Arabidopsis thaliana: one gene and its partners. The protein of the gene in region 3 purifies or fractionates together with the protein of the main gene of each other region. This does not show direct contact. Each region holds a gene or a part of one and is shown on either strand. Other genes may lie near its edges. The genes, in order: AT2G25355, CER7 and RRP41.

Region 1 (3,753 bases), on a different chromosome or scaffold from region 3:
CTGTAATGGCAATACTAACATCTCAAACAACTGAATGCAGTTACCAGCTAGAGACTATTTTGATGATGGTTCAGATTGAAGAAGTATATTCAGAAGGTACTTGCCTCAAACTTGGGATAATTTCTTCTGTTTGCTCCTTCAAATGCAAGCACAGGCAAAAGAGCCAATTGTGGTCCTTTAATGTCTATCCAATAGTTCTGCAATGAAACATGTGTCAAAACGATTTTCAAAATATTATGATCTACTTTGTTACATGCAACATGACTTTGGCTGAGAACTCTAGGGGCAACACTCTAAATAAAGGCTTATGCCGTTTTCTTTATCCATGATCTCAAGTATTTATTAACATATACATGTAACTAACAAACAAGCTGAGCAATGATAGAAGTTGGATAATGATAGAGCACAACCGAAATCAATATTCTTTATACATGATTTTTGCATTAAATGAACTGTATACAGAGAAAAAATGCTTGATTCAGAGGGTCCAAGGGAAAAGGATCTCTAACAAAAATTTAAGGATCGTCTTTAGAGTACTTACTTCTCCTTTACAATCTACCACAATGCCAAGAACATGATCCTCAGGACGAGGTACATACTGCAAAAAAAACATAATAACAGAGTCAAAATCGAGTAACATGGAGTAATTCTTCAAACTAGAGAGCAAAACCACCACTTTTTCGACAAGTTAAGCGCAGATGAACAATCGAATAACTAGTAGAGCTAGGAGATATCAGGAAAAAGGTACCAATTTATTGCAAAATACAACCAGCAAGAAACTAATTAGTTCTCACCCTTTTATGAGAACTTTCCACCCAATACTTATTTGGCTTAGAGTACCTCAACTTCCCAGCTCTCATAACAGATATCACCTCATTATCCTGAAAAAACCTCAAAATCATATGTCAATCTTCTAGCCTTGCAAGCCCAACAAAAAGCAAACTGTAGATTCCAAATTAAGTTTATTCCTCAAATGCCAATGCAAGATCCAAAATTCAACATAACTTGTTTAATAATGAGCAAAACATTCATTAATTCATTCATACACTCAACACAACAAATTTCAAACTCCAAAAAAATGATCGAAGATTTGGAACAAGTGATTTTGAGAAAGTTAAAAACCTGACGGAGACCACTGCCGAGTTTGATTGTTTGGTTAGTCATGTTTGATAAATCGAGAACAACATCACCTGGAACCTGAAACCCATCTCACAAAACTTAATCTTTCAATGTAATCCCAATCTAAAACGATAATCAAAGAAGCAGAGGTTTTAGTAGAAAATACGCACAACAGTCTGATCAATGAGGCTTGTCGGCGAGGTAGAAACTTCAGTACCCATCTTTCTTATTTCTTCGCTAACAACACCAATTGATTTATCCAATGAAGGGAGACAGAGCAAAAGCAGAACTGAGAGGTAGAGAGAAAGAAGAACCCTAAAAAACACTAAAACCCTAAAGTTTTTTGCTTTGGTGATGTTGAAGACGATCGGAAATTAAAAACTCCGAACCAAGTAATTTACTATAATGGTTATGAGTGGTTTATTTCGGTTTAGTAGATCCATATGATTTGGTCAACTAAAAAGTCTCCTTCGTCCTTCCTTTTTTTTTGGGACAAAATGACACTTCTTTCACTGATTTTCAACGACTGCTCTGTGGACCATGAGTGATGGATGGTAGTTGTTTTTGGTGAACAAGAAACAATGACACTGATGGTTTCGAATTTTACAATGGATTAGGTGATCTGATGTAGACATGTGTGTGCATATACATCAATTAATTACATAAAGAAGAATCTGACTCGCATATTCAAAATAAGGGATTTACGTCACTAACCAACTTTCTGCTCTACTTTTCTCTGTACATGGTATATCTATTCTATAAGCTCTTCACCTTCTGCGTTTTTCGTTTTCCTCTTTCACAGAGCTCTTAACCTGCATTGCGGAATTCAAATGTTTTCTCAATTTGATATTCTCCTCAGTCCTCATACATATCTGCCATTATCTTCCTCAGCTCATCCTCAGAAGCAGTCTCATCAAACCCTAACAGCAGTTGCGCCTGAAAATATGCCACTTTCAAATTTAAAACGAGGAATCCAGCTTGGCGATTTTGAGCCATGGTTATCGAATGTAAACATTTGAATACGATTTTTCTTGCTACAGATATTAAAGGAGATGCACCAATAGCTTACCTCAATCTGATCTTGCAAGGCATTTGATACTTCAGATAAGTCTTCTCTGTTGTTACTGGACTCATCCATTGACAAGTTTGTGTTGTTCACTTTAAGCCTGTCGTGGAGAATTTCACAGTCACTATACAGCCTTCTTCTTGCTTCTAGCGTGTTCTCGACTATTATCCTTTCCTGTTGGAGGAGTTTCTGAAAAAATTAAACATGTTTCAGTATGTTTTGATGTTCTTTCTGTAGGATCATATACATTTACCACAAGCGGATGATGCAAGCAATAATATAATGCTTTTTATTTACAAGCTTAAGATTTACCTCAGTGTCAGACTTCTCTGTCAGCGATCGAGTCAGTTCCTTTTCCATTTCCATATGTGAACGTCTCAGGGATTTGACCTCTCTGACAAGCACTTTTATGTCTGCCTTTGATTTTGCCTCCAGTTCAACATACCGTCTAGAAAGATCTTCCAGTTGCTGTTTTGTGGCATCCATTTCTTGTAACAGCTCATGGCTCTCAGAGATTGTTGAGTTTCCTGACGTCTTAGAATCTGAACTCCCATCCTGTATTAGTTTGCAGGTGTCAGTAAGTTACTTTGCTAGATATAAATTACTCGCTCGATGTGAACTTGCTTAATTGTGGAAAGAATGTGATTGAGATGGAACTATTTCAAATTTCAATACCTCTTTTGACTTTAACTTCAGTTCCATCTCAAAAGTTTTTTGCCTGAGTTCTTCCATATCCCACTGCATCTTGGTAACACTCTGTCTCTCGGTCATCAAAGCTTGCTCCAAATTCTCTTTGTTTCTCTGTTTAGTAGTTTCAAGTTCCACTTCCAGATCATCAACCTGAACAGGAAAACCAAGATTACATATATGACATTCGCATGAAGAGTAAAGGAAGAAGCGCAGATTTCATTACCAACAAACTTGAAAACAGATGTACTATTATTTTCAATCATGTACCTTTCTGTTCAGATATTCCTTCACCGCTGTCTCTTGATTTAGTCTCGCTATAAGATCCTCCATGTCTGTTTTTGAATTGAGAAGTCTCTCATTCATAGTTAATAGAATCCTATTTAATTTACTATGCATTTTCAGCGGGAGAACTATTCGTCCATTACCCGGTATCTCCAGGTTACCAACAGATATATCATGATTAACATCCAGCTGGCTATGTACAATGGAGCTCAAGATACTAGAGGTTGATGTCTCACCGGCTAGTAACGAAACCCCGTCAGCGCTCTCAAGAGAAAGCTTTCGATCATGCATCACTGAGTGACTAGTTTCTGATTCAGAGCGACACCGTAAGTCGTTGTTTGCTCGAAATACACCTTTAGAAGCTTTTCCATTGTACGAATTCGTCTCTGTGATATCATTGGCATATCCTAAATGGACTCTGTGCTTAGGAAAATCTTCTAGCTGCTCGATAATAGTTTGACTCATACTCAGTCCCTCGTCAATGTTGGACATGCTAAACTTTACAAGCTTCTCTGTTGGATTTGTCAGATCTTCATCCAAAGTTAGATCTCCAGTATCAGTTTCAGAAACATCATCCTGACCTAAACTTGCTGATC
Region 2 (3,753 bases), 450 kb from region 3:
CAGCAGCTCTTGAAGAAGCAAGACGCAGGCAATGAAGGATTACACTCTGGTTCACGCCTTCTTCCCCCGGTTTTTGGATTGCGCATATATCGCCATTGGCATTAACTGTCACAGTCATTCTCCCACACATAACTGCTTCTTCAACATAAGTTGGGTCCATCACCTGCATATAACAACACATCACACTTTATATCTCAGAAAAGAAAAAAGAAAAAGCAAACTAGACTCTCACTAAAAATACAACTGTTTTTACCACAATGTTGCCTTTATTAAAAAATCCAAACGTGAAGGCTATTGGGAGATGATGTATTATCAATGGAAGTGGTTCCCTTTCCTGCAAAAGAAAGTAAAGATAGAACAAACAGTTAAAGTTAAGAACTGTCTTCTCCACTTAACAAATTCTTACAAGTTTCTCTAAACCGAAAACATATGACTAACCTCTAGTGGATGTATGATCACTTCTTGACCATTCTCTCCTCCTACAGTGCAGTCGGGTCTCCTAAATGTCATGAGAGCTGCTAAAGCAGCAATATTTGCAGCATCAACTAAGTTCCTATACATAAATGTGTAACAAAAACACGCATTAAAGATCATTTTAAAACCAGAACCTTCAATGAGATATACTGTAGCCAACAAAACTTACCCTCCATTGTCCAAGATATGAAGGTCAATGCGAACAGACCAAACCATCTTTCCAGCTAGAACGCAGAGTGACTCTGTATCTACTGCACGGCTTTCTCTGCAATCAACACAAAGACCAACTTACCATTACTCCAACCAGAACAGCCAGCAATACTCTTGCAGCATCAACAAAGTTTGTCCAAAAAAACATTTACCTTAGACCACGATCGATAATGCGTCCCAACTCCACTGCAGATTCGCCAGGACGACCAGGCTCAAAAGACGGATCAGCCATTGGAGAAAATTCCGTGAAGATCGAGAGAGACCCTTCATTAGGTCTGTCTTTGTAAGGTTGTACCAACTGAGCAGTCACGAAACCCATTACATGAGTCTGACCAAGTTGAACTTCCGAGCTACCATATTCTCTGTTAATTCAAACGAGATTAAAAGCTGTCTTTGGTTACAAACACTAAAAGAAAAGCATGCTAGTATTCGTTCTAACAGAGGTAATAGACTGAACAAAGTTATCTACATTCAAATTTATCACAAAACTCGACAAAGAGGGAAGCTTTAGAGCTAAAGAAAGCAAACAAAGCCTACAAAGTGCAGAAAAGAAACGGCATCAATAAGCAGTTCTATGAGCACTTACTTGCCAAACTTAATAGTAAGCTTGCGATAATCATAAAGGCCACGACCATCTACTCTGAGCTCAGATTGCAACGCAGTTTCCACGAATTTACTTTCGTTAACAGTCAACCTCCACATATTAGCCAATCTCCCCTCCATTATCTGCTATCACTAGTAAACTAAAAATCAAAACTTTGAGCAACCCTTACAGCAAATCAAACACTCTAATCGATAGAAAACCTTCTCTTAGGCTTAGAATCAACTCTGTAAATTAAACCAAAACGTACCTACTGGAGAAAAGAGATGAGAAGAGACACTTGGACTTTCTTCTTTCTTTTATTGTACTTCACCTCCGGCTAACTACGAAGGAGCTCCAAAGATTTTAGGGAGAGGCGGCAAAATCGCACAGATGTTTTTTTCTATCTATCTCTCGGCCTTAACAACAGTAAATGTAAACACGGCGGCGATTCAGAGAAAGCTTGGTGATGGGAAAACACAGGTTTCGGAAAAATTCGAGAGGGTGAATAACTAAAAACGCTGTCGTTCTGGATCAACAAACACCGGCGTCGTTTCAGCTGTTACCGACGTCGTTTCATATATTATTTGTTATTTGACAAAAAAAATTATAATGGATATAAGCCCATGGGCTTACAGACATTATCTTGATGCTTTTTGGGCTACTAACTTCAAAGGGAAAAACGTCAATGAGTTTTTTATTTTATCTTTTTGGTGTAAATGTTAAGAAAGTCAATGAGTAGTATGTTGAACTTTTTAATATCTCAGCAATTGTTGTTTCAGCTTGGAAAGATTAACTTTGACGCACATGTTTGCTTACTTACTGATAAATTGTATTTTAGATTTAGAATATTCAACAAGCCAGTACAGTTTTCAGAATCTTTCCCACAAAATCCTCAAGAATTGAAGATCATGCATGTACACTTACTAGATTTGTATTGCTTGTACGTATTTTATCCTACTTGTTCCAGCAGCACCACTCAAATATATCGTTTTCTGTACTTTCTTCAACATTTGGACTAATTAAGACTTTAAACGATTATTTATTAACAATGAGAGAATTTTGAGCAAGCTTTCAATCCTTCGATCTCTATTTCAAGAATCATCAGCTATTTAAAGTCTTCAACGAGAACTATATTTCTAAAGAAACTATCAAGCGTAAAAGTCTGTTATGAGCAGCCAAAAAAAGTTTACAGATTCCGCGAGATGCCTTGCCTCTTGTGGATCTTTTCGTCACCATGTCTTGGTTTAAGTCACTTAATTAGTGTCTCTTCTTAAGTTCCGTCCTCTTTCCTAAACTTGGAACCACATCGAATTCTTTAAAAAGAGAAAAGAAAAAAAAAACTGCTTATTTGGTAAGGGTCAAGAAGATATGGTTGTATCTTTATGATCATCTTAATTTGGATTGTTTACTATTACTTAATTATGAACAAGAAACATGTTGGGATGAATCTAGAAACTGATAGAACCATGTTTATGTTTGCTTCACGCACACACAAACTACATCATGTAGTCTACATGAACGAGCCGGAGACAGCTTAAATCTTTGATATTGTTTGCCCAATTTTTTTTTAAATTTTGAAATTACATTATAAGTAACTCTCTTAACTTATTTGAATGAAATTAGTTAAGGTTTACTTTCATTATTTCCGATTGGTTTTCAATTGTACGTTTCGCTAATTTTGGTATAACAATTTCAGCTTTCCCCACATGCTCTCCAAATTTCCTTCTTCTTTTTTTCATTTCTTTTGATTGAGATGTAAGAAAAAATGTTTAGTAAGAGTGAACAATATGAATCTCCATTGTTTTCTTCTTCTGCTGTTGCTTTCATTTTTCTTCTTTCTGTTTGCTTATTTTTTCTTTTCCCCCACTTTATTCCAAAGATAAAGATCGCATGTTTTAATATATATATATATATATATATATATACACTTTTATTTTAATTATGTTTTATTTGATAAATTAATTATGTGTACAATTATACTTGGACTAGTCTATGTGCATAATGGAAGGCGCCAAAAGAAGAATTCAGCTCCTTGTAATTTGTAAGCTTTTAATTTATAGTATTGTCCAAAGTCTAAAGGTATTCGTGTGGAAACGGATATGGATATTGTAATGTATCAGCAATAATCATAATCATTTCCCCCAAAAATGAAAAAAAAAATACAAAAGATTAGGTAAGTGTGGGAGCTAAGTATATTACTCACGGCTGAGGAACCCATTATAAAAAAGGATATATATCTATTAATTACTTAGATAAGAATAGTATAAAAAGATTGGCTGCTATCAAGTAGATACTCATGCCACCACTAAACCAATGAAAAAAAGAAGACTCTTTATGTCTTCCTGTTAATTTCTATGGAGGCTCACACACACACACATTCAATTCAAATCCTAACATCATGAGAATATAGAATAAGTACACACTAATTGCTCGGCATGTTTAATAATACATGTACGTAAAACTAATGTGATAGTGAGCTCACTACC
Region 3 (3,753 bases):
GTAACCTGTCGAATTTCTGTCTTCTACGATCACCAGTACTAAACTGAGCCATACTATACTCACACAACACCTACCAAAACATACAATTAGCAATAAGCATTCCATATTCACCAAGAACAATACTAAACAAGATCAAAGCATATACATACCACTGCATGGTCGTTCTTCTTTTGCTGGCTCTTGTTTTGAATCTGAAGGAGCACATTAACAGAAATAACCAATTCGCTGAATTATACAATTAAAGTATCAATCTTGATAGGTGAGTAACAGAGTAATCAAGTACCTCTCTTGGACCATAAACAGCTGCAATTACTTTGGTATTACCCATCTCGAAGACAGCAGAACTGGAAACAAAGTTGGAATTTTTGTTCATATAAAAGTGCCGAATATAGAACTGAGATACGGAAAAAGATAAGAGACAGATTTTGAGTTTTACCCGTCAGCCTTAGAAACAACTCCAACTTCAGCTACGATTTGCCTCATCTGAGATTCATTACAAGCAATCACGAATAGACCGATTAACTTGTGAAGGCAGTGGCTTACAAAGACAGTGAATAGAGATGCAAACATACCTCGTTGAATCGGCGACCATCTAATCGAAGACCTTCAGGGTTTACGTACTCCATTGTTGTGAACTCTAGGTAGAGATAATCAAGGATGAGAGCAATGAAAGACAGAAACAGAACAAGTTTAATACTTTCTGATCCCACAGAACAGGGAACAAGAGACGAATTTACCTCTGCCAGTACTTTAGCGGCGGCGATATGACGGAGGGCGATGGACGGCGTCGAGAGAACTGAAAGAGTGTCGACAACATAAAGATTAGGGCTTTTTGGTTCCTTTTTGTGAATTAAGTGAGATTTTAAGGGTAAAACCGTCAAATCACAGGAGGATTTTTTTTTATAACTTCTAGTTTATGAAGCCAGGCAAATTGGTAATTCGCTTGCAAAGAAAAGTAAAGCTCAAAATTGCGGGAACATGCATGCAATAAGAGAATTAAGAGTGAGATCCCTTCAAAAGTATAGCTCAAATTGTTGTTGTTTTCTTTTATCAAGGCTTTTCTTGTTGACTCTGTTATTTCAAGTATGTATTAGTAATAGTAATATAGTATCTAGATCAATTTCTAAGTCAATAGTATATTGATAGTAGTATCAACGTGTCGGGAGTTACGTGTGGCAATGCCGACAAATGAATGCAAAGTGAGGTATATGAAAATGACGGGTTCCTGACGGAGGAGATGATGGAATTATTTACTAAGGTTTGCTAACATCTTCTTTTTTTATGTATGTATGTTTGGATCAAAAAGTATACAAAACCATATTAGACAATTTAAGAGAGACCACTCTCTAGTCTCTACCTAGTAAAAGTAGTACCTACTACGACTATCCTAACGAATGTCATGCAATTTAATGTTCCATATACAATTTTTTTTTTTTTAATATATTAAAAACAACCCAATAGGGCATGGGCTAAGACCCAATACACAGATGAAATCCAGTTACAAAATAGGTTAAACAGAAAAAGTCACCGACAAACAAAGAGGTTCGAACCTTGCTGCTGGTCGGAAGCAGAGTGGTCGGAGCCTTATATCTGGCGGACTCAAGCATCACAGCTTTGCGGCCGCAGACGACGGATCGAGAAACGCAGCTGGAAGATTCCGGTTTCCATCTGCACCTATCTCCGCCGTCGCACCAACCCACCACAACTCTCCCAGAAAGCTAACCACTCCGACTTACCGGTTCCGCGATATCTGTTCCATGCCAAGCAACCCGATACACTAGAGTTTAACCCCTCTCCGACTTAATGTTCCATATACATACTACTAACTATTATTAAATCAAACTGACTGTTATTTTTAAGGTCTAACTTTTAACACGAGTACCTGACTAATCCCACGTAAAAAAAAAGTCTTGAAATCACATGTATCTTTTTATAAAATCACAGGTGAATTCGTGTAAGTTATATAAGGTTCAAAATAAAACAATATAGAATTACTGTAAGTTACAAGATTTGGTATATTAACTTGTAGAATTATCGATATAATAAAAGCTTATTTTTCAATTATTATTTTAGGACCAAATCTAGTCAAAGCTCAACCATTAACTATGGAAATCTAATTTCTAGTTACCTTTTTAATAGTAGCTTTTTCTAATAAAGTTTCTGATAAGAGACTTGGTCTCCAAGCAAAAGATCATAAATTTTTTCCGAAATTAAAAATATATTTTAATATTAAAGACGAGATTTTATTACTCTTTCAAACACATCGTTAGATTCATTACCATTAAACTTCACAATTTCCATATTGGGTCAATGCGAATTGACACATACTCGTGACCAATCTCACACGCGTGGAGCCCACTAGCCGGCGCGTGTAGCAAACGTAAAACAGACCGCGCGTAAAAGAGTTAAAAGTTGCTTGGAGACCAAGCTATAGATTAGGACAATTGGCTCTACTTTCGGTACGGTAACTACCACGTGTCATAAATCTAACGTCTCAATCTGAGATGCGGAAAGCCGTTTCTGGATCCCCCATTGGCCGCCACGAAACCGCCCTTAAGCATCGTCCCTCTTTACATTAAATCCAAATCTAATTCCCGGTTTATAAACTCCATTAACCGGATTAAATTTCAATAGGTTAAGCTTTGATAAACGTATGTCATTTCACCAACTATATTTTAAGATACGTTTAGTTATAAGGTTGAATGAGTTTTGATTGGGTCAGTGTCTCATATCATATGAATAGTGTTGAACACGCATCAATTTCTCTGTAACAGTTAAAATCTAATTAAATTAATTACATAGAAAAAATCACGTTACTAAACAAAAATCTCCAAAAATAGTGATGAGTTAATAGTATTTAAGAAGGATGTTCCTGAGAAACGGCGATTCTTCTTTAACCTTTTGACTCTTCTTCTCTCTCTCTCTGCAAATTCAAAACAGTGAAAAAAACCTCTCTTCATTTTTTAACTCCCTCTCTCTCTCTCTCTCTATGGAGAGACGAACGAGACGAGTGAAGTTCACAGAGAATCGTACGGTCACAAACGTAGCAGCTACACCATCTAACGGGTCTCCGAGACTGGTCCGTATCACTGTTACTGATCCTTTCGCTACTGACTCGTCTAGCGACGACGACGACAACAACAACGTCACGGTGGTTCCAAGAGTGAAACGATACGTGAAGGAGATTAGATTCTGCCAAGGTGAATCTTCTTCCTCCACCGCGGCGAGGAAAGGTAAGCACAAGGAGGAGGAAAGCGTAGTGGTTGAAGATGACGTGTCGACGTCGGTGAAGCCTAAAAAGTACAGAGGCGTGAGACAGAGACCTTGGGGAAAATTCGCGGCGGAGATTAGAGATCCGTCGAGCCGTACTCGGATTTGGCTTGGGACTTTTGTCACGGCGGAGGAAGCTGCTATAGCGTACGATAGAGCCGCGATTCATCTCAAAGGACCTAAAGCGCTCACGAATTTCCTAACTCCGCCGACGCCAACGCCGGTTATCGATCTCCAAACGGTTTCCGCCTGCGATTACGGTAGAGATTCTCGGCAGAGCCTTCATTCACCGACCTCTGTTCTAAGATTCAACGTCAACGAGGAAACAGAGCATGAGATTGAAGCGATCGAGCTATCTCCGGAGAGAAAGTCGACGGTTATAAAAGAAGAAGAAGAATCGTCGGCGGGTTTGGTGTTCCCGGATCCGTATCTGTTACCGGATTTATCTCTCGCCGGCGAATGTTTTTGGGATACCGAAATTGC

Evidence for each region.
Region 1: the proteins of RRP41 (region 3) and AT2G25355 purify together in Arabidopsis thaliana (affinity purification with mass spectrometry; 2 studies listed by BioGRID, with this or other methods). This does not show direct contact.
Region 2: the proteins of RRP41 (region 3) and CER7 purify together in Arabidopsis thaliana (affinity purification with mass spectrometry; 2 studies listed by BioGRID, with this or other methods). This does not show direct contact.

What each region holds. Positions count from the first base shown.
Region 1 is NC_003071.7:10,798,978-10,802,730, reverse strand, and holds the start of AT2G25355 (PNAS-3-like protein), read right to left. Parts: upstream 1,641-3,753; 5' UTR 1,341-1,640; coding exon 1,290-1,340; intron 1,198-1,289; coding exon 1,123-1,197; intron 882-1,122; coding exon 795-881; intron 599-794; coding exon 542-598; intron 198-541; coding exon 105-197; intron 1-104. Other genes in the region: AT2G25350 (Phox (PX) domain-containing protein), read right to left, coding at 2,033-2,374, 2,498-2,740, 2,861-3,025, 3,143-3,753.
Region 2 is NC_003074.8:22,351,899-22,355,651, reverse strand, and holds the start of CER7 (3'-5'-exoribonuclease family protein), read right to left. Parts: upstream 1,753-3,753; 5' UTR 1,536-1,752; intron 1,428-1,535; exon of another isoform or gene 1,411-1,427; 5' UTR 1,408-1,410; coding exon 1,271-1,407; intron 1,047-1,270; coding exon 837-1,046; intron 740-836; coding exon 644-739; intron 554-643; coding exon 439-553; intron 335-438; coding exon 254-334; intron 164-253; coding exon 1-163. UniProt on the Arabidopsis thaliana protein: Probable 3'->5' exoribonuclease involved in the regulation of cuticular wax biosynthesis by controlling the expression of CER3. May act by degrading a specific mRNA species encoding a negative regulator of CER3 transcription.
Region 3 is NC_003074.8:22,802,285-22,806,037, forward strand, and holds the start of RRP41 (3'-5'-exoribonuclease family protein), read right to left. Parts: upstream 1,821-3,753; 5' UTR 1,551-1,820; intron 909-1,550; exon of another isoform or gene 797-908; 5' UTR 738-796; intron 638-737; 5' UTR 627-637; coding exon 573-626; intron 484-572; coding exon 437-483; intron 345-436; coding exon 284-344; intron 192-283; coding exon 150-191; intron 71-149; coding exon 6-70; intron 1-5. Other genes in the region: CRF6 (cytokinin response factor 6), read left to right, coding at 2,990-3,753. UniProt on the Arabidopsis thaliana protein: Non-catalytic component of the RNA exosome complex which has 3'->5' exoribonuclease activity and participates in a multitude of cellular RNA processing, maturation and degradation events.